Linked DNA regions of Nothobranchius furzeri. The protein of the gene in region 1 interacts with the protein of each later gene in a biochemical or structural test. Links are inferred from orthologs where the notes say so. Each region holds a gene or a part of one and is shown in the gene's direction. Other genes may lie near its edges. The genes, in order: nr0b2a, smarca2 and esrrga.

Evidence for each region.
Region 2: the proteins of nr0b2a (region 1) and smarca2 form a complex in vitro, tested with the Homo sapiens proteins (2 studies listed by BioGRID). The link is inferred for Nothobranchius furzeri from reciprocal best matches to the Homo sapiens genes NR0B2 and SMARCA2.
Region 3: the proteins of nr0b2a (region 1) and esrrga form a complex in vitro, tested with the Homo sapiens proteins (2 studies listed by BioGRID). The link is inferred for Nothobranchius furzeri from reciprocal best matches to the Homo sapiens genes NR0B2 and ESRRG.

Annotation. Positions count from the first base shown.
Region 1 is NC_091745.1:40,690,702-40,700,886, forward strand, and holds nr0b2a (nuclear receptor subfamily 0 group B member 2a), read left to right. Parts: upstream 1-5,008; 5' UTR 5,009-5,447; coding exon 5,448-5,982; intron 5,983-6,067; coding exon 6,068-6,333; 3' UTR 6,334-6,535; downstream 6,536-10,185. Other genes in the region: kdf1a (keratinocyte differentiation factor 1), read right to left, coding at 8,201-8,286, 8,892-8,966, 9,338-10,185. UniProt on the Homo sapiens protein: Transcriptional regulator that acts as a negative regulator of receptor-dependent signaling pathways. Specifically inhibits transactivation of the nuclear receptor with which it interacts.
Region 2 is NC_091750.1:37,859,927-37,870,339, forward strand, and holds part of smarca2 (probable global transcription activator SNF2L2), read left to right. Parts: intron 1-1,090; coding exon 1,091-1,333; intron 1,334-3,226; coding exon 3,227-3,340; intron 3,341-4,308; coding exon 4,309-4,413; intron 4,414-4,657; coding exon 4,658-4,744; intron 4,745-7,330; coding exon 7,331-7,377; intron 7,378-8,826; exon of another isoform or gene 8,827-8,928; intron 8,929-10,270; coding exon 10,271-10,413. UniProt on the Homo sapiens protein: ATPase involved in transcriptional activation and repression of select genes by chromatin remodeling (alteration of DNA-nucleosome topology).
Region 3 is NC_091749.1:33,776,791-33,787,203, forward strand, and holds part of esrrga (estrogen-related receptor gamma a), read left to right. Parts: intron 1-5,230; coding exon 5,231-5,337; intron 5,338-5,423; coding exon 5,424-5,586; intron 5,587-8,620; coding exon 8,621-8,865; 3' UTR 8,866-10,413. UniProt on the Homo sapiens protein: Orphan receptor that acts as a transcription activator in the absence of bound ligand. Binds specifically to an estrogen response element and activates reporter genes controlled by estrogen response elements.

The DNA of each region.
Region 1 (10,185 bases):
TGGTTATTTCCCCCTGGGAAGTTTAGAAACTGTCTGTTGCCTGACGAGCTGAAACTGTTTTGGAATTGGGTTTAGAGCTGCATTGTAGGTGCTGGAAGGGTGGAACCTACAGTGCAGCTTTAAACCCAATTCCAAAACAACCATCATAACACATAACGACATAAATGACTCCTCATGGGGTAGTGAGGATGGACACGTCTAGGTAGTTCAGCTTGTAGACAGCTACAGTTTTTAACCCTCCCACTGTCCTAATGGGTGTGACCCCGCGAGGAAAGTTGACCATTGAGCAGAACTGATGGTTTATTCCTTGAGGTACAAGTGGCAGGGGTGAGGAGTGAGCACCACCTCACCCCTGCCACGTGGACCTCAAGGGATAAACCATCAGTTCTGCTCAATGGTCAACTTTCCTTGCGGGGTCACACCCATTAGGACAGTGGGAGGGTTAAGCTTGACCCTCAGAAATGACAAAGCTCCTTGGATGAGAGGCAAAACATCTTCAAGAAACCAAAGAAGTCCAGTTGCCTTCATTTGAACCCTTTGGACATCCATCACACTGGATGACTGAAAACCTTCACTAGCATACTGATAACTGAGTCCTTAATAAATCATTGTAATTTGACACAAACATGCTCAGAAGTAGATATGTAAGTGTGGATTCAATTCTATGAATTGAGCTTCCAGGTTAAATAACTGATCTTTGTGGTGATGACCCGGTAAAACAGGAGCCAGACAGAGTCCTGTTCTACATCTGACGGTCATCACACACACACACACACACACACACACACACACACACACACACACACACACACACACACACACACACACACATTTGGTCGCATGGTGAGTTCACTGACCCAGTGGGAATACACAGCAGCCTTTGCTCAGGAGACGTTTTGGGACAACAAACTGAGTGTCAGTGGGATTCACCGATAGTTCTGCTTGAACTGTAAATATTTTCACAGGAGTGGAAATTCGATTCTGAATTAAGGAGTTACATCACGTTTGCTTCCTTGATTGCAGATTGTTCCTCTTACAGTATGAAGGACATTTTATTTTCTCTTTGGCAGCAGAGATAAGCTGGTGTCCTCCGTGCTTGTCTCCGCCTGCTCCTCACCTCCATAAACTCGGGCCTTATCGCAGGACTTTACAGCTGTCATCGCGCTTCACAACGCTTGAGGGCTGCAGAGTGTTTTGTAGGTCAACTCTGGAGAAAGTCTCACATTCGTGATGATTTTGTGTTTTACTGAAGCTCTCGTGCCTCATCCTGACTTGTTTCAGATCTCGCATTATTGGCCACGAGGATAATTCGGGAACAGAAAAGGAGACTAGGAAACATTTTCCAGAGGAATTTTTCAAGGAATGAGTAAATGGAATGATGCAATAAAACTAAGATTCGGTGACTGGTGCTGCCAGTTGTGTCTGGTGTCTAATCTCTTTATTGCAGTCATACACTTGGAAACTGTCCTTGACTCCAGCGCTCGACGGGTCACCTCCTCCGAGTCTCGGATACTTTAACGGTTCGTGTCAAATAAAAACAGCAGTTCCATGGTTTACGTTATGACTTATGAATGCGGTGATCCCTTTTACAACTCAAAGATCTCTTTTATTTGACAGTTGTGTTTATTTGCGACCGTAATAAAGTCATTTCCTTATCAGTCTGGAACCTCTGTGCCAGGCACGGAGAAGGATGGCGAAACGTTGTACTGCCCGTTACAGACGCCGTGACTCCGACTCCTTGACACTCCAACAGAATAAAATCATGACATAAAACCTGCTCTACAAAGAACAAACACTACAAGCTCCCAGTGGCCTGAGCGGTTTTTAAAGTCAAACGTGATTCAGAAAGTTCAGATCTTCTGTGTGGAACAATAGAGACGATTCCTGACCAGACTGTTAGGCTAACAGCTAGTTTATTAAATACTTAAAGCTGCTTTCCAGAGTTTTCCCCTTTCAGAAATGATGTATGATTTGTCAGAAATCTGTAAAAGTGATTATCTGATCATGTACTGTGATATAATGTAAGCACGCCCCCCGCCCCGCAGAGCTCCGTGCGATAGGAAACTGAGCGCCGACCAGAACTAACCAATAGCGTTAGACGAGCGCTTACTTGCTTCAAATTTAAGGAATACTTCGGCTGATGCAGATTTGATGAACTTTTCACGGACAAGTAAGACTTTAAAATATAAATAAATGAGAACACAGCCTGACATGAGAATAATACTCGTAAAACAACACGTTTCAGCTGTTTGTCGGCTACAGAAGCACATTTATAAACGGAAACGGGAAATCGCCATCTAAAAAAAAACAGAGCGAGAGTTTTTGTGTCATATGCTTGTCGGCCACTAGATGGTGCCATCGGATAAGAGAAATACTCCGGAAAGAGACTTTAAAACAACGCAAAGTTAAAGAAATAAGTTTTATGCAAAGATTATTTTATAAGGCTTTGCAATGTTTTAAGTTTTGCACAACACAACTTTTAACAAAGTTTACTGTCATTTGCATTTGAAGGAGAATCAGCTATCTGTAGCATTTCCCGTTTGTAACATCGTTGGTTAGATCTTTATTTTCCTGCCGGTTTACCTGTATAATATAAAACCGAAGGCGGCATAAGCCTGACAAACATCTCAGATCCCATTAGACCACTCAACTTCTTCCCCAGGAATAACCCACACCTGCGTATCAACCAACCACATTTAAAATCTCTTTTTGTCCCTTTCGTTGTACGTGTATGTTCATAGCTGAGAACTTTGCACCACCCTTTTGTACAATTCATGTTTCATGTTTGCCCTGCAGAAGGTGATGTAGTGGCAATAAATACATCTTATGTTCATGCTGTTATGTTTATTAAGCTATGCTTAATTTTCTGTCCCTTTTGTTATGTTCTTATAGAAGACTTGGCTAAACTGAGGTTGATGCAAACATCCTTTGTGTGTTTGGGCCATCCAATGATTTGTTATGGTTGATTGCACATGGATGCAACTTAACGCAGAGCACCGGTGTTCTGCTGAGCTGTGGTGGCCTCATGGAGCGGGCCGCCGGCTAGCATGCTGCTGCTAACTACTTAACATACTCCCTCTCTTATTAATAACATTTTACTCTCTTTAACGTTGTATGTGCTACTACTAGTTCACCTGTTGAATCAGTTATATGGGCCATTCCCATCTGTACCGGGTCGGCCCGGGCCGGGTAGCGTAGGTTGTTTACATATCTGGGTGGCCTGGTATTTTTCCGGGCCAACCAAGGCTCATTCTCAGCCCTCTTCTCAAGGGGGTCTGCTTCAGGCCGACCAGGGCCAACACACCCACTGCTGACAGCAAATTCACACCTTCCATTAGAGCAAGCCTCTGATTGGTGGGTAGAATCAGCCCACATGGGCTTAAGGCAAGGATGTGTGGAATCAACCGGGCCAGGCTGGGGCCGACTGGGGCTACCCGGCCCGGGCCGACCCGGTACAGATGGGAATGGCCCATTAGATTCACCCAGATAAAGACAATAAAGTTTATTTCTCACTAAATAGAATATTTAATAAGAAATCACAATCTAGCCATAGGAACACCACTTGGTGTGTGTGTGTGTGTGTGTGTGTGTGTGTGTGTGTGTGTGTGTGTGTGTGTGTGTGTGTGTGTGTGTGTGTGTGTGTGTGTGTGTGTGTGTGTGTGTGTGTGTGTGTGTGTGTGTGTTTGCGCTGACTTCCCAATCCCCACTGTCGCTACACACTTGCTTTTGAGGATTGCTGCAAAGACCTAGTCAGTGACTCGATGCCGTCTGCTGAGTTAGGAGCTATATAAATAATCTGAACTGAAGAAAAACATGTACATTATTGAGATTAGTTGTGAAATGGCCAACAACAAGAGAATGTAACATTTGTAAAAACAATAACACTATTTCTTTTTTGATCAAGATGCTTTTTTAGATAAGTTTGTCTCACAAACGGAACATCTGCAGTTAGAATGCCTCATTTCATTTCAAATGTGTTGACAGCAAAATAAACATGTTCAAAAACTTCTACGTAAATGCAGCTGTTACTCAGGAACTGGGCAAAAGCAAATGCAAACAAAGAAACTATAGAAGCAGACATTTGTAAAACGGGTTAATTACGTTCCAGATCACTAACAAACACTTCTGTGCATGTTTCAAATGAAAAACTGGTCTTACACACGACCCTTACGATCACACAAACAACCTTTTAATCTTCTGTGTAATAATCGTGTTAAAGATCGAAAAGGCAGAATTAAAACGCAAATCTTGATGGATATCCATTAACGGTGTGGAACACTGAAAAAAAGTTTTAATTATTATTTCTGATTATAATCGGTCTCCGAGTGTTTCGTTCATGCTGAACATGAAAATAGTCTCCTACACCTAGGATTTGAAAAGCCTGACAGATCTACGCCACGCTGTCACCTAACATTCATGGACTCACCCTCCTTGACTCGCGGCTGTTGTTGGCTTAGCATCCAGGAAACAGCAGAGAGGTAGTAGAAGCTAACGTTAGCACAAGCAACTCCACCACACAGCAGACCTCCTCCAGGCTCGTGTTATTTGTGGAGAGAAAACATCAACGTTGAAGAGCAAACAGAGTCAGTGGTAGAGTCGCGTTGCTGCTAGCCGGTCCGATTTTAAAGGTTAGTAGGTGAAGTGGTTATAAGGTTGAAGTATGCTTTGGGACTTCTGAGGATTAGATGCATTAAGTGTACATTTTACCGTTTGTTCCCACCCCAGAGTTACAGGTTAAGCTATCAATGCAACTTGCCCCTAGGGGGCTCGCTACAGCGATGAACTTGTTTTATATTCTTCCCGAAGTCATTTGGAATCATTTCAATAGTTCCTTTAGTCATCACACACTGTTGAAATTCATCTCCGCATTTGACCCATCCCCGTGGGGAGCGGAGAACTGCAGCTGTGGTCGGGAATTATTTGGTGGTTTTATGCTACTACTACTGTTTCCCTAAAATTGAAGCATAATTCCCACTGTTCCCGGTTTGGAAACGTTTGTCTAAACTAAACTACGTTTGATGAGAACACGATGTGAAGGTCAACGGCCTCCTTTGTGGTCTGGCCTCCTTCCAGCACTACAGGTGTGAGCTGGCGGGTGCAGTGACACAGCGTGGGGCTGATTACCTCTGCAGTCCTTGGTAGCTTGGTACTGCCTGGGTTGATGACACTGCCTTCCAGATAAGGCCAATCCCACTTGATATCCATGTGTGACTCCAGCAGCTACTTCTCAATGAGAAAAGCTTATCTGTTTCCCAGGGTTATTCCAGCAGTCACCTGGCAGAGCGCGCGGTTGTTTTTCACATTGGGTGTATTGACATTTCAAGGTCCACTAAGAAGGGAGGGTTGGCCTTATAAATAAGACTGGAGGAAGCAGCAGCTCTCAGAAGCTCAGACGGAGCCCGTCGTGGCAGAGAAGAGGTTCAGAGGAGCAGCCGCATCGAAGAAAGATGGATAACAGATGCCAGTGTTCCGCTAACAAACAAAGGCAGTTAAACCCGATCCTCTACAACATCTTGAGCCAGATGGACAGCGGTAGACCGACTCCAGACACCTCCAGCCACAGTTCCGTTCCTCACAGATGCAACTGTGAGACGCGGCGGAGAGTGTGCTTAAAAAGGCCGTCTGTGGTCTGCAAAGAGGCGTCTGCAGTTCTGGTGAAAACCGTCCACTTCATGAAGAACTTGCCAGCGTTTAACCAGCTGCCACCCAGTGACCAGTTTGCACTACTTAAAAGCAGCTGGGTGCCACTTTTTATTTTGGGTTTGGCCCAGGAGCGCGTGGACTTTGAGGTGGCGGACGTCCCTGCTGACAGCATGCTGAAGAAGATTCTCCTGAACTGCCAGGAGAGCCCTGAAACAGAGCGGGAGCAGCCAACCATGGCAGGCATCAGCAAACTCAAGTCGTGTCTCAAAAAGTTCTGGAGTCTAGATGTGAGCCCAAAGGAGTACGCTTACCTGAAAGGGACCACGATATTTAATCCAGGTATGTACTGCGTTAACTGGATTCAGACAACAGATAATCCAAGGACTCGTTTGTCAAGCAACAATTCTGGTTTTCTCTCAAACAGATGTACCAGATTTGAAGGCAGGCCTGTTTGTCGAAGGCTTGCAGCAGGAAGCTCAGCACGCCCTGAGCGAGGTGGTCCAGCTGCTTCACCCTGGCAACCAGGAGCGCTTTGCTCGGATCCTCCTCACAGCCTCCATGCTGCAGGGCATCACACCCAGCCTCATCACCGAACTCTTCTTCAGGCCTGTGATAGGCCAGGCCAACCTGCTGGAGCTGCTGGTCGACATGCTCTTCAGCCGATGGGAGGGGTGGTCCTCGGGATGGTGACCTCCATGCAGCGTGCTTTAGAGGCTTCTATAAAGCACACTAGGGTTTTGACTTTCGTCCGCTGAAGCTGAGGTCACTTCACCGTCTGAGCAGAACTCCTGAGAGGTTTTTGAGTTTTGATCCTACGTGTCGATGAGCTCCTCTGCTGTAAATAAGCATCTGCATTTCCAGAAAACTTGAATAAATATATTTTTGTACACGACTGAGTCCGATCCGTGGATCCATCCTCCATTACATGTTGTGCTCAGCAAACTTTTCAGAAAGTCAAGCGTAAGCCTGCGCGTTAAAGGAGAGAATCTAAAATTAGAATGAAAACACACATTTGTGGCTTCAAATGGAACAGAAAACCTTTTTTCTGCCTGTACTGCTGTGCTGTGTCTCCCTCTAGAGGACGTTTGGTGGAAGTTTTTTTTTCTCAGAAGACTAGCGGCAAATATTTTCTTACTTTTGCATTTCTCACAAAACCACAGCATCAAGATCCCCCCACCCCATCGTCACAAAAAGGGACAGAATGGCACGAACGCTAAACTCAGCGCAGTATAAAAAAACACTGTCTGCATGTAGTTATTTGAGAAATCAGGCTTAGTCATCCTACTTTGTGGTATGTTAGTTGTGAAACCCTGTCTTTACATGACAACTCGTACAGGTAAAACAGGAATGTGCTGGTGGGGGCGGTGAGCCGGTGGAAATGGGGTTACGCGTGGAAACGGCAACACAAACAAGACAAAAGGAGAGTCCAAAATGCTTCAAATCGAGTGCAAAGTGGAAAAAAACTACACATTTTTGTTGCTGCAGCAATTTTTCTTTTCAGCAGATATGAAATCATCCAAATGTTGGAGTTGTTAGGATAAGGTGGCTGTAATCTGCTAGATTTACTGAAAACTTAGAACCCGGTGCATTCAAACTGAACATCTTCATTTGAGCAGAAACAAGAAAACGTGAAACAACGATCAACGCGTCCTAAAACAGATTAGAACCAGAAACCAAACTCTTCATTCTCTTCAGGCTCCTGCAGCAAGTCTAGTTATCGGAATTGCTTCTTTCCTTTTTCCATGAATGACAAAGACAAACCTCGGGATTTTATTTCCTTTCTGTCAGAACCAGCCAAACGAGTTCCTCCTTTTGCTGAGGGCGGAAAAAGCCTCTACCTGCTAGAACGCTGACCTCGGAGACGAGCCTGCAACAATCCCAGATTCGGAAAAAAAAGGAAAAGTGAGCTGGAGAGGAAGAAACTCGAATGAAAAATGATTTCTTGGTGTATGAAAGCTACACTAATATGCCAGTATTCCACTTGTGGCTGCAAGAGAACATAAACACACTTAAATATGCAATAAAAAACACAAGAATTTAGTTTATTTTTTTAAAATACAACTTTTTGGGTAATATAAAAAAAGACACCAAACGGCACAATGCAACATCATTTCAAGAACAGTTATGGCTTCAGCACAGTTCTGCTGCTTAAACATCAGCAGCAGCAGCAAAAAAAAAAAAAAAAAAAAAAAAAAACATCTCAGGTTAAAGAAACGGTAACAGATCAGCTCAGACAACACAACGCTTGTAAAACTAAAAAAGGAAGGAGGACGGTTATGACCTACCACGGGGTTTGATCCTGTGGCTTTCTGACGGCTGACTGATGTTTTCAGAGAAGTCTAAATCTTTAGAACACTGATCACAGGTTTACCTAAACATCAAAAAACAACGTACACACCTTTGTTCAGGGGGACAATTCATAGCAAAAAGTGTCTTCTCCTCTCACTGGAGAACTGTAACCATCTAGAGAACGGTGCTCTGCTCAGTAACAGCATCCATGGCAGTAGCAACAGCAGTCGGGTGACACCCTTCTGCAGTAAAAGCACATCAAGTCTCTTCAGATGAGCAGAGGAGCTCCTGACGAGTGACTTCCTGTGTCGTGATGGTACGGCGAGGAGACCGTGGCGGTGCTGGAGGAATACGCTGGTGGAGAAGCAACATTTGTACAATTAAACAACTCAAACAGCGAGGGCTCTACATCATCTGCACGGGGAGGGTTCGTGCAGTGAGAAAGCTGCAGAAACACAACGTGCTGTACCCTCATTCAGAGGCGTGTAACCAGACACCTTTAAACTGCCTGTTTGCTAAAAAGCAAGTTTGAAGGGAGAAAAAAAAGCCAGTTGCACTGTAATTTATTAGTAACCCAAGTTGTTTGCTAACATGACGTAACGTTACAAGGTGTAGATTTGATGTGACTCGATCTGCTGCTTTAGCGGGAGGTGTAGCATGACCGCTGAGCTGGGGTGGGGGGGATAAAAGAGCCTGGAAGACCGGCACGGCATTAGGTGGGACTGTAATGTGCGAAGAAAAAGGAGAAGGAATGCTGTTTGTTAGAGAAGTGTGCTGCTGGAAAGTAGGGAGGAGGTGAGAGAAAGCCTGCAGCTGCAGACGGCACAATGGTTAGGGGAGATGGGAGCCTCACCATGCAGACAATCACAGACGGAGGAACGCTAAATTTTACACCCGAATTTCTCCAGACAAAAAACGGGTCAGTACACCCGTCATGGAAAACTCCCAGGTGCACTCACTTCTCCCACTGTAAGGTCTCATCTTCCTGGCCAGCTCATCCGACGGCGTCCGCTCAGACACTTTCACCTCCGGATCTGTAACACAATTAGAACTAAATAGACGCAGAAATGAAATGTGGCAAAGCAAACACAGAGGGCCTCTTAAGGGCCCTCAATAAGCTCCAGTGTGATCAATAGTCCGGTCATCTGCTCTCACAAGGTTTTGGGTTTTCCGCACTTGTATCAACTTGCCTCGGATTAGCAGATTGTTTAATAGGCCTGTAAACTGCTTTGTGTTTGAGGGTTTATAAACAAAGACAGCAGAGTCCCAGCAGACACGATGAGTCACCGAAGGGGAAACGGGTCAGATGTTTGTTATTTCTGGCCTTCTGCTGAACAAGACAAGTGGAAAAGTCTACTGCACCGATTATTACTGCGAGACAAAAACGGTGTCATGCAACTCTTACAGTCGCTGCTCATGAAGGTCATGGTCTCGGTGCCGCTGTCGGGGAGCGTCCCGTCGTTCCTGCCGTTGGGACGCTGCGCCGCTTGTTTGTGGCTGGGGTTTTTCTTCGTCTTCCTCGTGCTGATGCGGATGACCCCGTGCACCAGCTTGCACTCGGCCTCCTGCTCCTCCAGGTTGTAGTTCTGGGCGATGCTGTAGATGAGCTCGCTGATCTCGTTGGTTTTGCGGGAGAAGGACTGGTCGGATGTGCACTTGGCAAGCTCTTCGATCTGATGCAATGCGTAGAGCTCCAGCAGCTTCTTGGTGATGAGAGAGTCCACATCCGTGCTGTCGCACGGGTCGTCCAGATCGTAGTAGTCGTTGGACAGCAGGCTGGTGTTGCTGACCGGTCGCTGGCTCTCCCCCTTAGCAGGTGCACGGGTCCGTTTGGGGGCGTTCACCGGGTAACTTACGATCTCCCCCCTGAAGCGAACATCTTGGTATCGGAAGCTTTCATTTGCAGGTAAATTGGAGTGTTTTTTGGGTTCCAAGGTGATGTCACGTGTTGGGTTGCTCAAGGCCATGCCATTAGGAGGCTCACTGCCCATTTTATGTGGGTGGTCGGTGGAGCTTTCATTAACAGGCAGACAGGGCTCCCGGCTGCCGTAAAAGCCACAGGTCAGCAAACAACAGAGGAGAGCCTTGCAGCTATTCCAGCCCCTTGAAGCGCAGGAGCCACAGGTGGGCCTGCTGGTGGGCACGCTGTCTGCTGACCCTGGAATAAATCCTATAGTCTCTGAGCTCCGGGCCGTGCCGTTCCGTGGGTGTCCTCTGCCGTGACCGTACTTGTTCTCTGCATACCGGGGGCGC
Region 2 (10,413 bases), on another chromosome or scaffold:
GCTGGGTCTGTCTCTGTCTCTCTCTCTGTCTCTCTCTGTCTCTCTCTCTCTCTCTCTCTCTGTCTCTCTGTCTCTCTCTGTCTCTCTCTCTGTCTCTCTCTCTCTCTCTCTCTCTCTCTCTCTCTCTCTCTCTCTCTCTCTCTCTCTCTCTCTCTCTCTCTCTCTCTCTCTCTCTCTCTCTCTCTCTCTCTCTCTCTCTCTCTCTCTCTCTCTCTCTCTCTCTCTCTCTCTCTCTCTCTCTCTCTCTCTCTCTCTCTCTCTCTCTCTCTCTCTCTCTCTCTCTCTCTCTCTCTCTCTCTCTCTCTCTCTCTCTCTCTCTCTGCATTAATTCATGCACTTAAATATTAATGTTCTGATTTTATTGAAAAAATTGTTCCTTTACTATTGCAATCAAAAATATTTAATATCAATTCTGAGGCTGTTCTGTAAATACTTTTCAAATAAACAATACTCATAGCAACTTCTGATCAATCCATATCAATTTCAGACTTAAAACAATGTATTAATGTAAACCACACCCACTTCCGGGTTAGGCCACGCCCACACCACGTACACATACAGATAGTGGTGTACTCGCTCAGCCCTATTACTTACTTTCTCCTAAACGAAACCTTTGGTAGCGAGTTTTCTCCGCCATGAGCTAAATACGAATGACCTACAGAACGTTGGATCCAATTTAGTCTCGCTTACGGCCGCGTCGTGTCGTCTGCAGATGCTTTAAAGGTCAACTAAACTGTAGGAAATGAAAGCAGCTGAACTTATCTTCTGTAATTTAAAGCAGAACGATGATTATCTGGTTCTTAGTCGGTGAAAAGCGGTTTAAAGCTGATTTCAGCAGCTGTACGGTGATGAAATGTGTTTAAAACTTTTATTGACTTTTGTGCAACATCTGAGTTTGTTTTTCTCCCTCCTGCTGTGATCGTGTTCAACGAGGAGCTGAGATCATTTTTATACGGAATGGAAAAACATACAAATGAAGAAACTTTGGATAAAATTCAAAGTTGTTTTCATTTGAGGATCAAGACTGGAGTCTTTGGAGCTCGTCCTGGTTTGACCCTGAGGGTTTAGCTAGTTTGTGTTTTCACTCCAGATCCGTTGGAAGTACATGATCGTGGACGAGGGCCATCGTATGAAGAACCACCACTGTAAGCTGACCCAGGTGTTGAACACACACTACGTGGCTCCACGCCGCCTCCTCCTGACCGGAACGCCGCTGCAGAACAAGCTTCCTGAACTCTGGGCCTTGCTCAACTTCCTGCTGCCCACCATCTTCAAGAGCTGCAGCACCTTTGAGCAGTGGTTCAACGCCCCGTTCGCCATGACCGGAGAGCGGGTAACGGCTCACTGTTTAATCTCCCCCAGAGGGACCGATTTTCCTCACAAATCACTAGAAACATCAGACGGAAACCGGCAGAGCCACAGAAATGTTTAACCAGCTTTAGCGGCTCCAGTGATTCGTTTGACAGGATGAAAACAAAAGAAAAATAAATAAATGTTGTAATTATTTATTTCCGCACCTGGAGTCAGGCACGAGCGCTGGAAGTCGAGAGAGCGAGGCGGGGAACGCTGCGAGTCAACGCCGGCTTTGCTGCATCATTTCAGGCTCATGTACAGAAAAGCTTGTAGGTGCTTTTGGTTTCCTGTGAAAATTCCCAGAACGGAACCAGGAAGTTTGTGGGAATTTCAGTTTCTCAAAGCTGACCAATCATGTTATGGCCAGAGGTGGAAACGCCCGCCTCACTAGCATAAATGCGAGAGGGAAATGTGGAAATAATTGCAACATCCGTCCGCTTATCCGGGGTCGGGTCGCGGGGGCAGCAGCCTAAGTCGAGAGGCCCACACTTCCCTCTCCCAGTCTCTTGGGCCAGCTCCTCCGGGGAATCCCAAGGCGTTCCCTGGCCTGGTGAGAGACATAGTCCCTCCAGCGTGTCCTGGGTCTTCCTTTAGCCCTCCTCCCGGTTGGGCGTGCCCGGAAAACCTTACCGGGGAGGCGTCCAGGAGGCATCCTGACCAGATGCCCGAGCCACCTCAACTGGCTCCTCTTTTATGCGGAGGAGCAGCGGCTCTACTCCGAGCCCCTCCCGCATGACCGAGCTTCTCACCACATTTACAACATATATTTGTTTATCTTTATTTACTCCGTTATTTAATTTTATATTTCCTTCTTCGTGTATTTAATTAATGTCTGTTTTGGCAGGAAGAGCAGGAAACTCAGACGTCGGTGTTGCTCTTATATCTTTCCCCTTTTATAATTTATTCAGCTTTACATTTTGCTCTGAAAGTTTGCTTGAAAGGAGAAGCAGATGTTGTGTTTACTGCTCTTCCCACCTGATGCATCATGTATTCGGGCATGTTGTATGTGCCTCTTAGCTTCACACGCGTACCGATGACGGCTTTCTAACATACTCGACACCCACAACCCTCCTTTACTCTGGTATTCTGTATCTGAAGAAGTTCTCATGAAGGAACCACGAGGACGAGCAAAGCCCCGAGGATCAGCTCCAGCAGCAGAGTCCTCGTTCATCACACAGCAAACAAAAGGATCACAGGAGTGGAGAATTCCTATGAGATCTGACTTTAGTTTGGTCTGTGTGGGTCAGACGAAGTCAGTAAAACTGTAGTGTTTTTCAGCTCGAACGCCACAGTTTTTTATGGTAAACACTGATGGAGTAGAAAATCTGCTTTTAGCCACTGAGTTGTGGTTTAATTCAGCCTGACAGCCGAGCAGCGAGCAGAATAAAACGGTCGGCACGTTCTTCCAGATGGTGTTGATCAGCAAAAGTCCTAGCAAGGTCAGCCGTGGTGGCTGTTTGTCGGTGGTAGCATGTGTTAGCATGAGTCTCAGATCCCGTCCTGTCGTTTGTTCAAAGTCTTCCTCCATAAAGTCCAAACCACTCCCAGATCAAATATCCTGAAACGGAATTCCCCTCTGGGATTAATAAAGTATTTTTGAATTGAATTGAAATATCTGCTGCTAGTTTTCCTCACAGGCTAGTTTCTCGTTGTTTACTCTACCGAGCCGCGCGTCTCTCCTCCTCCTGTCTGAGGGCGAGCCAGCTGTGATGCTGCATGGCAGAAATTCATCTTCAAAGTTATTATTTCAACAAAAACCAAATGATCTCCTGAATCTGTTTTCTATGCCGCCCCTCCCCTCCCCGCATTGCTAGCCTAGCTTGTTTCTTTCTGCAGAACACACCTGAGTCACTAACCCCTCTCACCTGCTCAGGTGGACCTTAACGAGGAGGAAACCATCCTGATCATCCGCCGTTTGCACAAAGTGCTCCGCCCGTTTCTGCTCCGCAGGCTGAAGAAGGAGGTGGAGTCTCAGCTGCCAGAGAAGGTGAGTTCAGCTGCTGTTGCAGGTGTTTGCTTTCGTTTGGTCGCTGAATCATTTCTGGTTTCCGTTCCTTTCGTCCCGTCAGCCTGCGACAGTCAGGCAGGTTGGGGTTGAGCTGGTTTGGTGCGACGGTAGCTCAGGGGCTAAGAGTTAGCCCTCGGAGGAACCGCTGGTGCCTGTGCTCAGCAGCCTCGCCTCTGTCAGAGCGTCCCAGCTCAGCTGTGGCTACGGTGTAGCTCATCACCACCAGCGTGTAGCGTAAAGCACTTTGGAGTCCTCTGACTCAGAAAGGCGCTACACGAGTTCAGCTCATTTCTCATTAAATCACTCCTTTCCTTCACCAGGAGCATAACAACCCCGTTTTCTGGGTAGAAAGGTTAGTTTTTATTTTAGTGATGAAATTCGTTCCTGTGCTGATGTAACCGCGGCAACAGCGACGTCCGCCCTCCTCTTTCACTCACCGTTGTTATGTCGGCCTCACCTCGTTCTGCTGCTGGTAGAAAACACGGGTGGTGTGTTTCTCCTGCAGACTCGCGGCTCTGCAGAGTCTGGTTAGACGCAGCCTCCCTCGTAAGAGGCTGTTAGCGCTAACGACCCTGGATGCTACGTTTTAGCTTCAGACAGCGACTGAAGCTTGTAGGAAACGCCTCAGCTGCTGTTGGGGTTGCTTCTGCTGTATCCCGTAACTCTGCCTTTACCGACACTCGTACACTGAGCTACCTTCATGCGGTAAAAGTAACACGGGATAGGTTGACGACATCATTCTGCTGGAAACCGTCTTAACTAACGTTTTAAGTTGTTCCGACGTCTTCTGTTCCTGAGCTGAAACCTCCAAGGATCTCCCTGCAGATGAAAACGTTAGTTTCTCCTTTACTTTGTGTTTTAGTTCTTTAATCTCAGGGCTGAAACTATCATGAGGAACAACCTCACCTTCAAGCGGATTTAGCTTTTACTTCATCTCCTTCTCTCAGGTGGAGTATGTCATAAAGTGCGACATGTCTGCGATACAGAAGGTTCTGTACCGCCACATGCAGAAAGGAATCCTCCTGACCGACGGCTCAGAGAAAGACAAGAAGGTAAACATTGAAGCCTCGCCGCCTGTTTGTGCCTGCTGTAATCTGTGCTGTGGTTACTGAGCGTTGGGCTCCCTTTGTGCTGATTTAACGCTAATCGACTGTTTACATCAAAGGAGCTTTGAATCTCCTGACTAATGCACTCGGAGTTTATTCTAGTGCTGAATCCCTGCCCTCACAAGATAAAAGGCTCTGTTTTGGTTTGAAAGGACTTTACATTTCTTTTATCTGTGATCATTTGCTGCAGGGCAAAGGAGGCGCCAAGACTCTGATGAACACCATCATGCAGCTGAAGAAGATCTGCAACCATCCCTACATGTTCCAGCACATAGAGGTGAGCGCCGACGACACAGTTTGTCACTAAATATGTTTTTGACTCGTGTAAAGGGGACATGTGAAGAAAATCTCTCCTTTTGGATTGTTTTTGTGCTGCCATGTGGGTTTCTGCTGCCTCTAGAAACACTCCAGATGTGACTAAAAACACCGGCCACCCATTTCTGTCGGTGTTTGGTTCCAAAAAGTCCCGATTTGTGACGTAAACGCCACCCCTCCGCCACACTAACTCACTTCTTCTCCGTTTGTGACGGTTGGGACGACACATCCCGCGCGCTCCTCCGTGAGAGCGGGGGTTGCACACGTTCCGCTGCTGTTTCTCACCAGTATCAGCTGATGGAGGGCTCTAGTTTCGTAGCGCCGTTCGTGTCAGTGGACACGGTAGGGTTGGGGAGGGGGGTGGGGTATGACGCTTAGCCTGGCGGGCCGCCAGGCTTATAAAGCGCTGGAGGAAACCCTGCCGCTGTTGAATTGTGATCGGCAGAAGCTTTTCCGCTTCGCCGCCTGACATTTTTACAGCAGCGGCCCAAAACGATCTCCTAACACATGGATGTTCTGCTTCCTGATCACGTGACGTGTGACGTATGTGGATGAAGATCAGCTTTAGAGCTGAGATGTTTGTTCTCACGGTGCGGGGGCTCGTCCGACGCCCACACGGTAAAAAAAAAAATGCCAAAGACGGCTTTAGTCAAGTCAAAGTCATTTTATTGTCATTTCTAGCACGTGTGCAAGACATGCAGAGAAACGAAATTGAGTTTCAGTGCACACAATTCAGAGATCAGACATACATGGGTAAGACACATGACAAGAATTGGTGACTGCGGTCATTCGCAACATGAGTCGCACTACCTTAATAGATAGATGACAAGGGTGTTACATGAGGATAGTTGGGGGTAAGGTAAAAAAAGGCATAGCAGAGTTAGACCCAGCGGGGAGTAACTATTATACAAAAAAAAAAACTCCTCAACATAGAAGCACAAACAGCACAGATACAAAACATCAGAGTCCGATGGGGAGGCGGGGCTGGGCGGGATCCTGAAGCCTCCAACGGGAGCTGCCAGTACGGCGCATCAACCAGCTGCAGACCAACAGGTGGGAGGGAGAAATGAGGGACAGAGAGCACATTGAGTTTCCTGCAGGTCGCTGACCTCAGCAGAAGTCACAATCTGAAGGCGGGGGGGAAGGTCGGGGCACAGCATCTGTCAGCATTCCTCCTTTCGTGGGGGTGTGTTGAAGCAGCCTTGAGAGGCTGCCTTGGCGTCAGATAAGGATAAACATGACTTTGTTTGGGGCAGGCAGAGATAATTTTCCTCTCTGCCTTGGAGTCTATAAGTGGTCATTCATGTCCACCAGTGAAGCCAATTTTACGTTCTAAACATCCCCACATCGTCCGGCGACCCTCTCTGAGATGACATCCATCTTGCGCACTAACACAGGCAACGCCGCGAGGACATTGTCCAGCTTACGGTTCACCTCGAGTAACGTCCCAGTCTGTGAGGTCACCGCCCGGGCGGCACATTCCATGGGCACGGGTCGCACTCCAATCGCTCCCGTCTTCCCAAATTTCCAGAAAACCAGATATCCTCCCACTCCAATCAGAAGAAATCCAGCGATCATCAGGCCGAACATCCACAAATCTTCCACGTCCTCGATGGACAACTGAGAGAGGCACACGACTCGCCAGACCTCCCAAGAATCGAGTGCATATCCCGCTGCATATGTCCCCTCGGGACAGGTGGGAACCCCCTTCTCCGTTCTCATCGTAGAAAAAATTTTATCAATCGCGTTGAATGACCAGTTAATTAAGTCCATATTTCCAAAAAAGAGTAGTGATTTCAGGAGAAATGCAGAGAAGTGCTCTGTAGGCAGACAGGACAAGAGCCTTGGGGAAGCAGATAAGGGAGCTGAGAAAAAAAGTGTCTGTACTCTCTGAGGGCTGGAGAAAAGTCATTGACAGTGAACGAGTTAAATAATTGACCTCTACATGGTTTTTGTGCCGAGATTAAACCGTCAACGTGGTTGCTAATTCCATGATGGCGCCCCTCGTTGCTGATTGGTGGTTTTCTGTGGCAGGAGCGACCCGGTTCTGCCTCATTATTCCGTCAGCATGCATGTGGTGCCATACTGACAACTGCACACCATCATTCATGAAAATAAAGCATAGAGTGTGTTGTGCAGCAGCGTGATGTCAGCAGTCACCTGATGCATTTCTTCACGTTGCACACCCCGTCCCTACAGTGTGGTCTCGGCTCAGGTGCCGTCTCGTCCGTGTTGCTTTGATTTCTCGCCGTGACAGCAGATTGCATGGGTTACCTGTTGGTTCTTTGCTAGCTTAGATGTGTTTCAAAGGACTGGTGGGACTCCCCTGTACCTGTTCTTTAGCTGCACGGGCCTGAGATTTTCTGCTTTAGTCTAAAAAGTTATGGTTCTGTTCTCATCCGACACGAGCTGTAAGGCTGTGCTCTGAAGTGATGCACACATTTGCTTTGTTTGGTAGTAGCTCCGAGTTTTTTTTTTAAAAGGGAAATTGTATCATCTGTCCTAAAAGGCTTTCCATATTTAAACATGTAAATGTTTCCTGGTACAGGAGTCTTTTGCTGAACACCTGGGTTATCCGAATGGCATCATCAGCGGGTAAGTAGCACAGAAAAGGCCCAGGCCCTCTGAGGTTACTCACCTTATTTCAGGGAAATTTCATCATGCAGCTCTAGGAGTTATTCAGTGAAAATGAATGCAGGTCCATCACATATAAACTCTGACGTGTGTTCCTTCTTGCATCATGAGTAAAGTGTCTGTAATTATGAAAGGTGACGCATGAGTAAGTGTCAGAGGTGGACGTGCGTTCTGAAGCGATGCACCAATTACCAATGGTGGTAATGTCCAGATAATCACCTTTATGTGGCTGGTTCACATCATCCTGCTGCATAATTAATGAAACAGCACTGATTTAGAGCCGACAGGAAACCTTTATGGTTCATTAATGAACAGGTGCTGCTTACAAAGTCAGATCTGGGAAAAAATAAAATGTATTAAAAGTGTTTCATAAATGCTAAACGAGGTTAGAAGACGCGACGTGGGTGCGCAGCAGCTGCTTTCTGTGGAAGGACTAAAAATCAGAGCGTCTCCTGTGACTGGCTGCAGGTGGAAAGCTATTTACGGAGTCGGAAGTCCTAAAGCGTTGGATTTCTGATCATCTGAAGCTTTCTACTTTCTAAATACATTTCCTGTATGTTGTGTTGGCGTTATTGTTATGCTGTAATCATGTGGAAGACAAAGTAGAAGGCTTCTCCTTTGAAGTATTGCATAATTAAAAGTGTGAAAATATTAAATCATTACCTATAAAGGAGGTGGACTTCTATGTATTTACAGATAAATGCAGATTTTTTAAAACTTCAGTTAGAAATGTTTATTTTTCATTCATGTATTTAAATGTATCCTTTTTATCCTCAACTGGACTCATAAACACAACACAACACAACTGGCTCAAACTGAGGCGGAGGTGGTACCATCCTGACCGTGCGCCAGCACATTCGTACTCTGTGCATTCAACTGCCTCACTTTTTTAAAGGCAACATATGTTTTCGTTAAGTGTTCTAATCTAAGCTTCTGTTGATTAAGAGAATATTCCATTTGACAACGTTTCAGGTGAAACAAAACAGGTTTGCTGCTAAAAAATATGAAATAAAACAACAAAATTATCAGGCTGAAATAACAGACTCTTATTGTGAAAGGCTCAATGATAAGCATTAGATTGGTGTTTAGTTCCCTTTTCCCCATCTGATATTTATAGTTTAAAATATTTTTAAATATTTGACCTACATTTCAGGAACATTTTAGGTTTGTATTAATAACACTCGTCTAAGTCAAAATAACACATAAATATATCCAGTAAAATATAATGCATTTCATTAACATGCATTTGGATTGTAATTGGTAATAACATTTCATTTCTACTGCTAACAATGTAATGGTGGCATGTGTAATGGTTGGCAATAATCCAGTTCAAATTATGGTCAAAGATAGAAGCCTTTGTGAATTATATACTACAATGGCTTGCCTTAGATAGAAGCCTTTGTGAATTATATACTACAACGGCTTGCCGTACAGCCTGCGCCAGCAGTAATGTGACTCGCATCTGCAGCGGTTCTGATCCGTAACGCTGCAGCATGCAGAATAAACAGGATGGTGGGAACTTTTCATCCGCTTGTAGAGTTTAGTCTTTCTTAGTTTTACGATCATCATCATCATATATTTTTCCGTGCGCCACTTGATCGTGAGACTGCTACCCGTTAGCTTTAGCATTAGCCAATCTGCGTGTAGCTGCACTTTTGATCCCAAACTTTGGACCGGTTCTGCCTTTGCTGGTTCCTTAATGGGCCATTCCCATCTGTACCGGGTCGGCCCGGGCCGGGTAGCGTAGGTTGTTTACATATCTGGGTGGCCTGGTATTTTTCCGGGCCAACCAAGGCTCATTCTCGGCCCTCTTCCCGAGGGGTACTGCTTCAGGCCGACCAGGACCAACACACCCACTGCTGACAGCAAATTCACACCTTCCATTAGAGCAAGCCTCTGATTGGTGGGTAGAATCAGCCCACATGGGCTTAAGGCAAGGATGTGTGGAATCAACCGGGCCAGGCTGGGGCCAACTGGGGCTACCCGGCCTGGGCCGACCCGGTACAGATGGGAATGGCCCATTATTTTCCTCCACTGCATCCAGATGACCGCACTGTGCGCCAGTAAAAAAGCATTTTTCTTACACGCAACTTACTTTTGTACAATAAAGTTCTGGGGAGAATAGTAATTCAAAGATGTTGCACCAGTGCTACGTTTAAAAATAGACAGACACCACTGTACAGCCCTGCTCTGATATGGATGAGCCTGGGGTAAATCAGGATGTAAATTGCACCAACCGTAGATATGTACCAACTAGCGAGAAAAGCTATTTTTGATCTTTTTCTGCAGCGGTTTTAGTGCTTTTCGGTGCACCGCTGCTAATACAGCGGCTTGTAGTGACGCAACGCTGCAACTGCAGTTAAAATAACACCCATATAGCTGGGGGCAGAGTGAAATCAGGCTGGGGCAGCACTAAATTAGCTGGAGGCGGCCGCCACGCAAATTTGAACGCAGGAAAAACCCTGTACAGCAGTTCTGCTAAAAATGCCCTTTTCAGTTTGATCCAGCATTTTTGGCCTCCTGCTGAAGAGGTCACACCAATAAGTTTTATGTTGTGATTTTCTCATTTTGAGATTTATTGATTTTTATCTCATTTTAACACATTTTGTGTATCCTATTGTGTTATTTGCCTTATTTTTTATTGTACAGGTTTAAATTCTTCATAAATTTTGTCTGAACTTTGGTCGGTTTGGCTGTTTTAAAGAGCCTTATCAATAAAGTTGGCTTGAAGAGTAACTGTTCCATTCACACACGTATCGCCTCATTTTGTGTCTTTTCTATGAGGTTTTAGTATTTTTCATACTTGCTTCGTGTTTCTCTGAAACTCCCATGGAACGTAATCCTCTCCTCTTAGACCTGATTTGTACAGAGCGTCTGGGAAGTTCGAGCTGCTCGATCGCATCTTACCGAAGCTCCAGGCCACCAGCCACAGAGTTCTGCTCTTCTGCCAGATGACCTCCCTCATGACCATCATGGAGGATTACTTCGGTTATCGCA
Region 3 (10,413 bases), on another chromosome or scaffold:
ATCTGTTAGTTTTTGCAGAAAAAGGTAAAATCATCAGTAGTATTCTACCAGTACTGTATTGAGAAAAATACTACTAAATGTGTTCATCTAATGAACTAGCTTCTGCTCTTGGTACTTTGCCTGCAACAGAACCCGTGTTCAGATCCTTTATTTGCTAGAGGTGTTTCAGCTCATCACACTGTCATAGCACTGTTGCATGTTGTCTAGAGAAATAACACATCCTTGTTTAGTTTTGTTTTTTCTTGTGTATGAGCTTTAGGCCACGATGCACTATCACACCACGTTTTATTAAGTAACTCCCTGGATCTTCTCAGTGCATCAGGAGTTTTACTGTTGTGTACCATTCCAGCTACAGGCTTTAAAGCTGCCTCAAACTTTAAAGCAGACAGGCTTTGATAGAAGTGTGAATCACTGCTGTCTCATTGCTCAGACAGTCTGAAAAGTTTTTTGTTAAATATGTCCCATGGCTGTGGTCAAGTAAAGCAGAGAGCGGGACTTCCAAAAGAGATGCTCAGCTGTTACAAGTCTGTTGGGGGAAGGCTGCGACTAATTTTGTACCTTAATGCATCCTCAAGTGTGTTGTGATCCTGCTGCTAGTGGCTGCGTTGTCGTGGTTATACAACTCAGTTGAAAGGAATCTAGTCAGCATTTACCTTTATGTTATTCAATTACAAAGGCTAGCTGCTAAAACCTTTTTCACTCTTCTAATAAAAAAATAATCCTTTTCAAGGTTCATAATACACAAACACCTCTATTTAATCTAAACTGCAATCTCACACTGGGATTAAGTCAGTCATTGGCGCATTCGCATCAGATGGAGCCCAGTGGCACTGGTTTGACCTGCTTCTGTGCTGGCAGTTCACTGATGACGTGCACACGTTTTAGTAAAACCCATAACTTCCTGTACAAGGGGTAAACATGTTGACACAAAACATTTTAAAGAATTAAAAAATGTAATACTTCATTTATAATATGTAATTGGATTAAATCTGAATGGGTACAGTTACCTATTTATATTTGATTTGTCCTAATAAGAAAAAAAAAAGCCCAAAAATTCACCAGCTGGATTCCTGAATGTGGAGACTGGTCGTGTGTTTCTAACTGTCACCAGTTTTCACGCATTCTAGCTACACACATGCAGAAACACGGTGTACCTTCTTGGATTCTTGGAATCACATACCTGTACACATTTCTGTATAAATGTACAAGAAAAGACACACACACACACACCCTCATAAGCATCAATCGCTTCTCACTGGTTCCCATTTGCCCTGTAACCACACAAAACAAATATAGGGCTCCTAGATATGTGCGTTTGTGTGCATCTGTGAAGCAACTGGAGCATGAGAGAGGGCTATCCTGTAGGTGTGTGTGTGTGTGTGTGTCTGAGCCAGACTGTTGTGCGGTCTCGGGTGTAAACGTGCAGTCAGGACTCATTTGGCAGACAAACAGGCCGCAGGGTGGCTGGGGAGTCGACGTGTTTCTGTGTGTGTGTGTGGGGGGGGGGGGGGGGGGGTATCTAATAGAGAAAAGTGAAAAGAAAAGAGAGAGCCCAGAAGAACAAACTGCAGAGGTTAAGTTTGCATGGCTGAACCTTAGCCTCTTTCTGTCAGGAAAGCCAGTGCACACATCGTTTCTTTAGGCCCCTTCATAGGTGTTGTAGCAGATCGTTCTGTTTTCGAAATTACACTGAAACTCAAGCATTAATGTGAAGTTCATGACACAGTTACTTGACCTCAATTCGAGTATTTTAGTTCAGAAACAAAACTTTAAACCTAAAGCATCCATCCATCTATTAGTGTCTGCTTATTCGGAGTTGGGATGCGTGAGCCGCAGCCTAAGCAGAGAGGTCCAGACTTCCCTCTCCCGAGCCACTTGGGCCAGCTCCTCCAGGGGAATCCCTAGGCGTTCCCTGGCCAGGCGAGAGACAGAGCCCCTCCAGCGTGTTCTGGGTCTTCCTTTAGGTCTCCTCCTAGTTGGATGTGCCTGGAAAACCTCATCAGGGAGGCGATGTGGAGAAGCAGCTAATCTACTCCGAGCCCCTCCCGGATGACAGAGCTCCTCACCCTGTCTCTAAGGGAGAACCCAGACGCCCTGCAGAAAAAGCTCGCTTTAGATGCTTGTATCTGTGATCTCTTTCTTTCGGTCACTACCAAAAGCTTGTGACCATAGGTGAGGGTTGGAACGTAGATCGATCAGTAAATCAAGAGTTTCTGTGTCATGAACATTGTGCCGGACTGTTGTGGAAAACCTAAAACTTGATCCTTCCAAAAGTTTAAGTCTGTTCATGACTTCTTAAATGTTTCCAGACTATTGTTTCGTACACATTTGAAACCTGCACTGCTAGTCAGGCACCCAAGACAACAAATTTGCACAGCGTAACGCAAACAACACACTCGTACTTCCTCACTTTGTGTGAGATGTCTTATCAACAATGAGCAGAAAGGAAATGTGATTAGAGCCAAATCAGGAACCTTCTTTTGTCAAGTGAAATCACAGGTATGAAAGAAAGGTCTCCGCCCCTCCCCACCTCCAGCATCACCTCTTCTTCTTCCACCTCTCCTCCCTTTACTTTCATCTCTTCTCCACCTCTCCATCAATACCCCTCTCTCTCTCCATCATCAGCACTAAATTCCCATTGATGTTTCTTTTCTTCTGTTGTATCGATCGCTTCATGAGAAGGAGGGGAGGAGGGGGGAGCGAAGAAGGGAGAGATGGTGTTATCTGTTAATTAATTTGTCCTGAAGCCGGCCGCCTATTAATCAGACAGATAAGAGGCATTGGATGGCTGAACGGCACAGACAGACTGGTGGGGAGGGGAGAGGGGGTGGTACACACACACACACACACACACACACACACACACACACACACACACCGATGGAGTTACACATGCAGATACTTATGAAAATATGTATGGGAATGCATACAGGCAAACAGTGATAAAAGACAAGCCAGCCATTTAAATGCAACAGTGGTGTTTTTTAACGTTCAGATGCAAAATGTAAATACGTACTTGTTTTTAGAATTACACAAAATGCTTTCACACACACACACACACACACACACACACACACACACACGCACGCACGCACACACACACACACACACACACACACACACACACACACATAAACCTCAAAATGATAAAAAACCATTGATGTGCCTCAATAAAAACCGCTGCAGTTCAGCTCAATAAATTAATTAGGGTTTTAATTATTGGTGTTTTCTCTCTCTCTCTCTCTCTCTGTGTGTGTGTGTGTGTGTGTGTGTGTGTGTGTGTGTGTGTGTGTGTGTGTGTGTGTGTGTGTAAACATGTGTGCACTTGGTTTGTAATTAGATGGGAAGGCGTTTATCGATGATGGTGAATATCCTCTTATTAATAACGAGCTTCATATGCAGACTTTTTGATGACGTTAACAGTTTTTGTTTTGACTTTGTTCAGATGTGTTCTGGACAAGCCTGTGGTGCTCGTGGTTCACTTTTTAAGCCTTTATTTTGCATTAATATACCTACACTAAGAAATTGAGGAATTCAATTGTGTGTGTGTGTGTGTGTGTGTGTGTGTGTGTGTGTGTGTGTGTGTGTGTGTGTGTGTGTGTGTGTGTGTGTGTGTGTGTGTGTGTGTGTGTGTGTGTGTGTGTGTGTGTGTGTGTGTGTGTGTGTTAACCTCTGAGACAACCTCCTTCAAAGGGAACTGCCAGTTAGAGCGCTGAAAACACCCATGGAGGAGTTAAAACACACAACCAGTGACACTATTAAATGATATTAACCCCTCACACATGCCCTCCTCTCTTCACTAGACCTTGGGGCTGAACAGATTCAATAAGAGCTTGCGTGATCATTTTAAACATGCCAGCTCATATTTCCTGAGCCCAAAATGAGTGAGAAGGCACTAAAGACCCCCTAAAGATATCTGCTCTTTGTGTGCATGCGTGGGTGTACAAAAACCCCCTTAAGAAACGTACCTCTAATCCCTTCTGATGATTTCATTAGGAAGACGAAGGTACTTCCAGTTGGCAACAATACTGCTTCCTTCACAGAGCCATGTGTGTATCATTCATACACATTTGGATGTATTCCAGCCTACTCCTGTTCACATTTGTCCATGCACGCGCATGTTTGTATCTGTGTTTTATTTTAAGTGTCTTTGTTGGATGTTATAATAGTGAGTTGGCAGAAAGCTCATTGCAAGCAGCAATAGCTTGCAACCTGGACATAATGAGACGCCTGCCATTACCCATCAACACACAGTAAGATAGGAGCTTCTAATGTGCACCTGCACCCTCAAACTCATCATCACACATTCCCTCGTACACCTTGCATCTCAAGAGGAGGCCCATTGCAGCAGATGTTGTTGAACCAAGACCTTCTTTCTCATCTGCTTGCATTTCTTGGCAGGCTGCTCCTCTCAGATTCACATGAACACACAAACTGGGAGTCTGCAGCGAGGTCCAACAGGTGTGCCTGCGTGGCCTACTGTCTGTGCACTCACAGAAAACACACATACGCAGACAGGCGTGTGTGAACGGACAGGTGTGTGAGGAGCAGACAGCTGTGAGGAGAGGTGCGAGTGGGCAGGTGTTCCATTAAAGAGCCAGAGAATGAAGCGTAGACGATAAGTGAGAGACTTAAGGACGTGAAAAAACAGGAAGCAATCAAATCACAGCTGGGAAAGCAGGTTGGCCTGAACAGACGGGACATTCAGGTCAGGATGTATCAAGATGAAAAGAATCAGACAAACAAATGGCCAATCATAGACTGACACGAGCAGATAACAGGGCCAAGACTGACACTAAAGAAAACAGCGTTTTTGAGGCAACAGCAACAATTAGCATGTGTTTTTGAGCAGTGCTGCCACGATGGCCAGCATTGATCTGTGGAGGCTGTGGCAGGCGGAGATAAGACCTGCCATCCCCCAGGGAACAGCCCTGGGCAAAGGGGAGAGAGGAAGTCGAGGAGGAGGAGGAGGAGGGCTCATATGGATGGGGGAGTAAAGGAGACAGAGCAGAGTTGCTCTTCAATCTCTCACTAAATAAACTTTTCTACTATTTATTTTCTAACTTTTTTGTTTGGTTTTACTGTTGGCATCTATGTAGGTTCTACAAAATGCTCAAAATGTGTTATTTTTATATTAGTAACAAGGGGAAAAATCACTTCTTAACTCTGCTGCATTGTAGGTCAAGAAAACAAAAACATCTGTGCTCATTCAGTCCTCTTTCTTCACCAGGTTTCTCCACGCTTTCTTTAGCAGACCAGATGAGTCTACTTCAGAGTGCATGGATGGAGATATTAATTCTGCGCGTCGTGTACCGTTCACTGTCGTTTGAAGACAAGGTACGTGTTCCATCTCTGTTTTCCTGTTGTTATCAAATACACTGCTTTAAGTTTTCCAGGGTCACGCTCTCTGTGCTTTCCTCCAGCTGGTGTATGCGGAGGATTACATCATGGATGAGGACCAGTCCAAACTAGCTGGGCTCCTTGACCTGAACAACGCCATCCTTCAGCTGGTCAAGAAGTACAAAGCTGTAAAACTGGAGAAGGAGGAATTTGTCACCTTAAAGGCCATCGCCTTGGCAAACTCAGGTTAGACGTTGTTCTTGTCTGTTTGCACGTTAGACTGCTGGAAGAGAGTCAATCCCAGGAACCTTCAGTCCCACGAGGCTCATTTAAGCTGACACGTCAGTGAAGTGATTTCAGTAGTCTGCATGCAAACGCACTCTTATAGAAGATGCACATGTACTCATAACAATTATTTTTTTCCTTTTACAAGAATGAGTTAACTTTCCCAACTTCCACTGTAGACCCGCACGGTTGTCGTGTCATGCTACAGATGTAACATGCGCCTACACATATTTTTGTTTTATGCATGCGCCACTAGCATGCGGTTAAGCACAAACGTGCACAGATGTGTTCAGACTGAATTCCACCCCCAGACAAAGTGGCAATCCCTTTTAATAATTAGCATAGTTGTCTCTTCAGATGCCTGTTAAATAAAGTGAAATCATTAGAACTCTAAATCTGTCGATACAGCCCCGCCTCTGATGTGTCCAGCTGCATCGACAGCTGACTGACACACACACACACGCACACGCACACACACACCTTCTTCCTCTGATGACCCATCTTTTGAACTTTGTCTTGGAAGCTGGCCAGCTCTTCAGTACTCTTTAATTACAAGGGGAAAGCTGTCAATACGATGTGTTTAAAAAGGAGAATGCAGTGCAACAGCTTTCACAGAGGAGGTGGGGGGGCTTTAATGTCACCATCATCAACACACTCACAAACAAGCACAAAAACCAACATAGAAACTTAAAGTTGAACCATTTATTTCCTCTGATGTTGATATTATATTACGACTGTAGAAAATGAGTGGATTTTTAAACTTACTGTAGAAGTGATTTCATCACACTTAGTGCTCCATATGCAAATGCAGAAAATATTGATACTTTGTTATTCCCTGAGCTTTGTGTGACAATCAATGTGTGCGTGTACACGCATGCATGCACACAAAATATAAATTTAACAGTCAACATCATTTATTCTTTTTTTTAATTAAAAAGCCACATTTTGAAAATCGTGAAAAAAAATCCCCACAAAAAAGAGAATCCTCAAAAGAAAACATTTCGACAGGATCAACTGTATAAAAAACATCTTTACATAAAGTGACAAAGACATAAAATCTTCACTTCTTTAGCCAACGAAAATGGCTGAATTCCACATACAGTAAGAACTTTGTTTCATTGCCTCGGCTCTAACTGCTCTTCAAGACAACAGAATGCTAGCATTAGCATTTTGAAGGGCACTGACACTAATTAATTCACAGGATGCTAATCGTTTGCATTAATGAAGCCAAGCCTTAAGAAATGTTAGCAAACGTGCCCCACATGTAAAGAAAGCTAAACTGGCCATGGGAAACAGAAGGCACACGTGTGTGTTTGTGTATGTGCGCGCACGGTGGTGTGTGCAAGTTTCATGTTAACGTGTGTGCTTCAGCAGCCTGCTTGTGCTCATTAACGCCTGCTGGTTTACTTGTCAGTGTTCGGCGGGTCAAACAGGCAAAAGCCACGAACGGCAGCTTAGACGGCACGCTTTAAAATAACAAACAAAAGAATGCGATACTCGTTCAGCTTTAATCGGAGTGGAGGATTGTTTTTGCAAGAATATTCATATTAATTCTAGTGTGTTCCAACACAAGGGTGTTATTTTAACAAAAAGTACATTAAACAGACTAAAATGCATTTGCTGATCGTATCCAACAAGCAAAACCTAGTTCAACTGCTACATTTTTAAGGGGGAAAAATACAACAGAAGACCTCAAGCCAAAACTCTGAGGCCGAGCTTTCTATTGATCCTCCCAGATTTTAGCACACTGACCAGTCGGGTCCTGCATACTGATACATGCATTACACTCCGTAGATCCAAGTCTGTGCATTTGATTGTGTTGCTGGTGAATCTGTGTAAGTGTCTGTGTTGACTCATTTCATCTGTTTTATTTATTTTCATTTTGCACGTCTTACTTTCTGTGCAGAGGTTTGTTTACTTTTAGTCCTTTCTGAGCCTGAGAGAGCCTGCATGTTTGTCTGGACAGAGTTTCTGTTGGTACCAAATGACAACCTTAAAGTCTTAAAGAAAAGGTCCTTATAAGTGGAGTTAGAGTTTGTAAGAGTGTGCGGATGAGGCCATTGATAGTAGGCTTGTGATTATTATTTAACATGTATGTAATCATTGATTGGAGACATTGATCGGAGGTTGAGAGCTAAAGGCCAGCTCACATTAAGACATTGCCTCCCTAAGGGGCGATACGGAGCATTATTACTGAGAGACATTCTCATCCTTTACTGCCGTACATGCTGAAACACACCTAACGCCAACTCAGAGAGATTACAGATGTCTGCAGCCATGCACCTACACACACACGCACACACACACACACACACACACACACACACACACACACACACACACACACACACACACACACACACACACACACACACAAGAAAACACTATTAGGTGTTGCAGCGTCTCTTCATCATTCTAGGAGTCCATCTATTTTTTCTCCTCCCCCTCGTTTTTTCACCTGTCCATTCATCACACCCACACATGCACACTTTAAAGACAGAGGTAAGATGAGTGCCTGACTAGATTTAGTGATAAACCCCATTCCTGCCTTTAATTTTGTTTTTGTTTTTTATTCAAGTGTACAAAATCACAAATTTGAATGCTTTTTATTTAAATGCAAATGTGGTTACTTCTGCCGCAGACATCAAAATCAATAGAAAGTCAATAGAATTTACATTTATTGGATTTTCAACCTGAACATATGATTCGGTTGAGAATCTCTGCTTTGTTCTTGCTTGGATTTTAGATTAAGTTTGTTCAGTTCAAGCCACGGGCCCCTCCCAGACAAAATCAGCATGCTGTTGAGCAACACAGCAGCACATGCAGGCTCTGCTGCTCACTAAATCAGAACAAACTATGTTTAAAGTTTAAATCCAACCGTTTAGCAAAATCTCTTTATTTACAGTACAGTTTTATATTTGGGCATCAGTCAGTGCTGTTTATTTATTTAATTTTATTTTACTACTCTAACATGACGTTTCCTCTCTCTCACCAGACTCAATGCATATTGAGGATGTTGATGCAGTGCAGAAGCTCCAGGACGTGCTCCACGAGGCCCTGCAGGACTATGAGGCTTCCCAACACCAGGAGGATCCCCGCCGGGCGGGCAAGCTGCTCATGACCCTCCCCCTGCTCCGTCAGACCTCCACCAAGGCTGTGCAGCACTTCTACAGCATCAAGCAGGATGGAAAAGTCCCAATGCACAAACTCTTCTTGGAGCTGCTGGAAGCTAAGGTGTGAGGATAGGGAAGGAGAAGACACCAGTCTGAATCACCAGAGCTTCGTCTCAAACTTTGATCAACAACTTGAATGACCTCTTGCTCTTTCACATGCAAACACTCCTACACACACGCAGACAAACACACACGGTTTGCTTGGCTATTTTATCGCTCTATGACTAAAGAATCTATCTAGACCCAAAACCTGAACCCCAAGCCACTAGTTGACTAAAGGGCGTCCACTGCTCTCTGTTTTGGGGGAAATGTGTGGACAGCTGGACTTGACCCCTCCCCTTGGACCAACTGAACAAGACATTACGCACAGTGACTCGCATGTCCAGGTTGTGACAAAGACTTATGCATCGAGTAAAAATGAAGATGTTATTAATGACACACAATAATGAGGACACCTTTAAAAGATCAATAGAAAATTATGTTGTAGTTAAAAGACTGTAAGACTGCACTTGTGCCCCCCACCCCCACCCCCACCCATGTCACCAAAAAGAGTTTTTTTTTTGTGTTCAAGAAGAAAATGAATGAGGAACACTTGGAAAGTGTTCATGACATTTGTTGTACAGAGGAGTCCGGATGGATAGACGGGAAGAAAAGAAGAGATCCGCCCAGCCAAAGGATGGAATCATCCATTCAGAGGAGGCCTGCTACCTTTACTGTCACATCCCGATCTGTTTCTGGTTCTGAGTGGTTCTCAGTCCTGGGCCTGGCTCCCCGTTCTGACAGGCATTTACATTTTCTGTGGTTGTTGTGAAAGCCAGCCACGCTGAGAGCTTCTCAGACCAGGACTGGAAACAACCGCTTCAAACATTTTCTGGTGGTTCCTGAATTTCGTACCTTGTTTACAGATGGCCCTTCTGTTTCAGCTACAACTTTAACCGTCTGTTGAACTTGCCGAGGACAGACGTCTCCGGCCTCCTGGAATAGTATCGTAACAGTGTTTGTGCACTTGGTGAAGCTAAAAATTATTTAAATAAGGACAAATAAGACCTGAGGTGTGTTAGTTATCAGACAGTTTTTTTATAAATATACAAATTTGTAGAAGATGAAATCAAACTTTTGAAAATTCCCAAAAAGCTTAATAACTGTTCCCATTTTTCTGTGGAACTAACAGTCTTTCAGTCACTCCTCTTGTGTTTGGATGCTTGTTTGGAACATTTTTAGCTCATTCACAAACCGAGTCGCAGCTCTCCACACACCACTCTGCTCATGTGCCGTAAACAAAGGTCTGGCCCACTTCTACTCACCGTCCCGACAACAAAAAAACACTCTTTTGTCCTGTGGCGTTCACAACTTCCAGCTCATTTCTTGGGTCAGTGCAGAAATATCTTTGTGTCTCTTTCAGGGAATGAGCTTCACTCACATAGCCAAGTCCAAATCAGAAAGACAAGTTGTTGTTTTTTTCCCCTACTTTAGAAGTAATAACACTAATATTAGGGTTGTAAATAATTTTCATCTTGTATATGACATAACGCAACTCTGCTTTTCATCTTAAAACTCTCCTCTTAAAACTGAGGAAATCAACATGGCTTTTTTTTTCTATCAGCCTCGACACTTG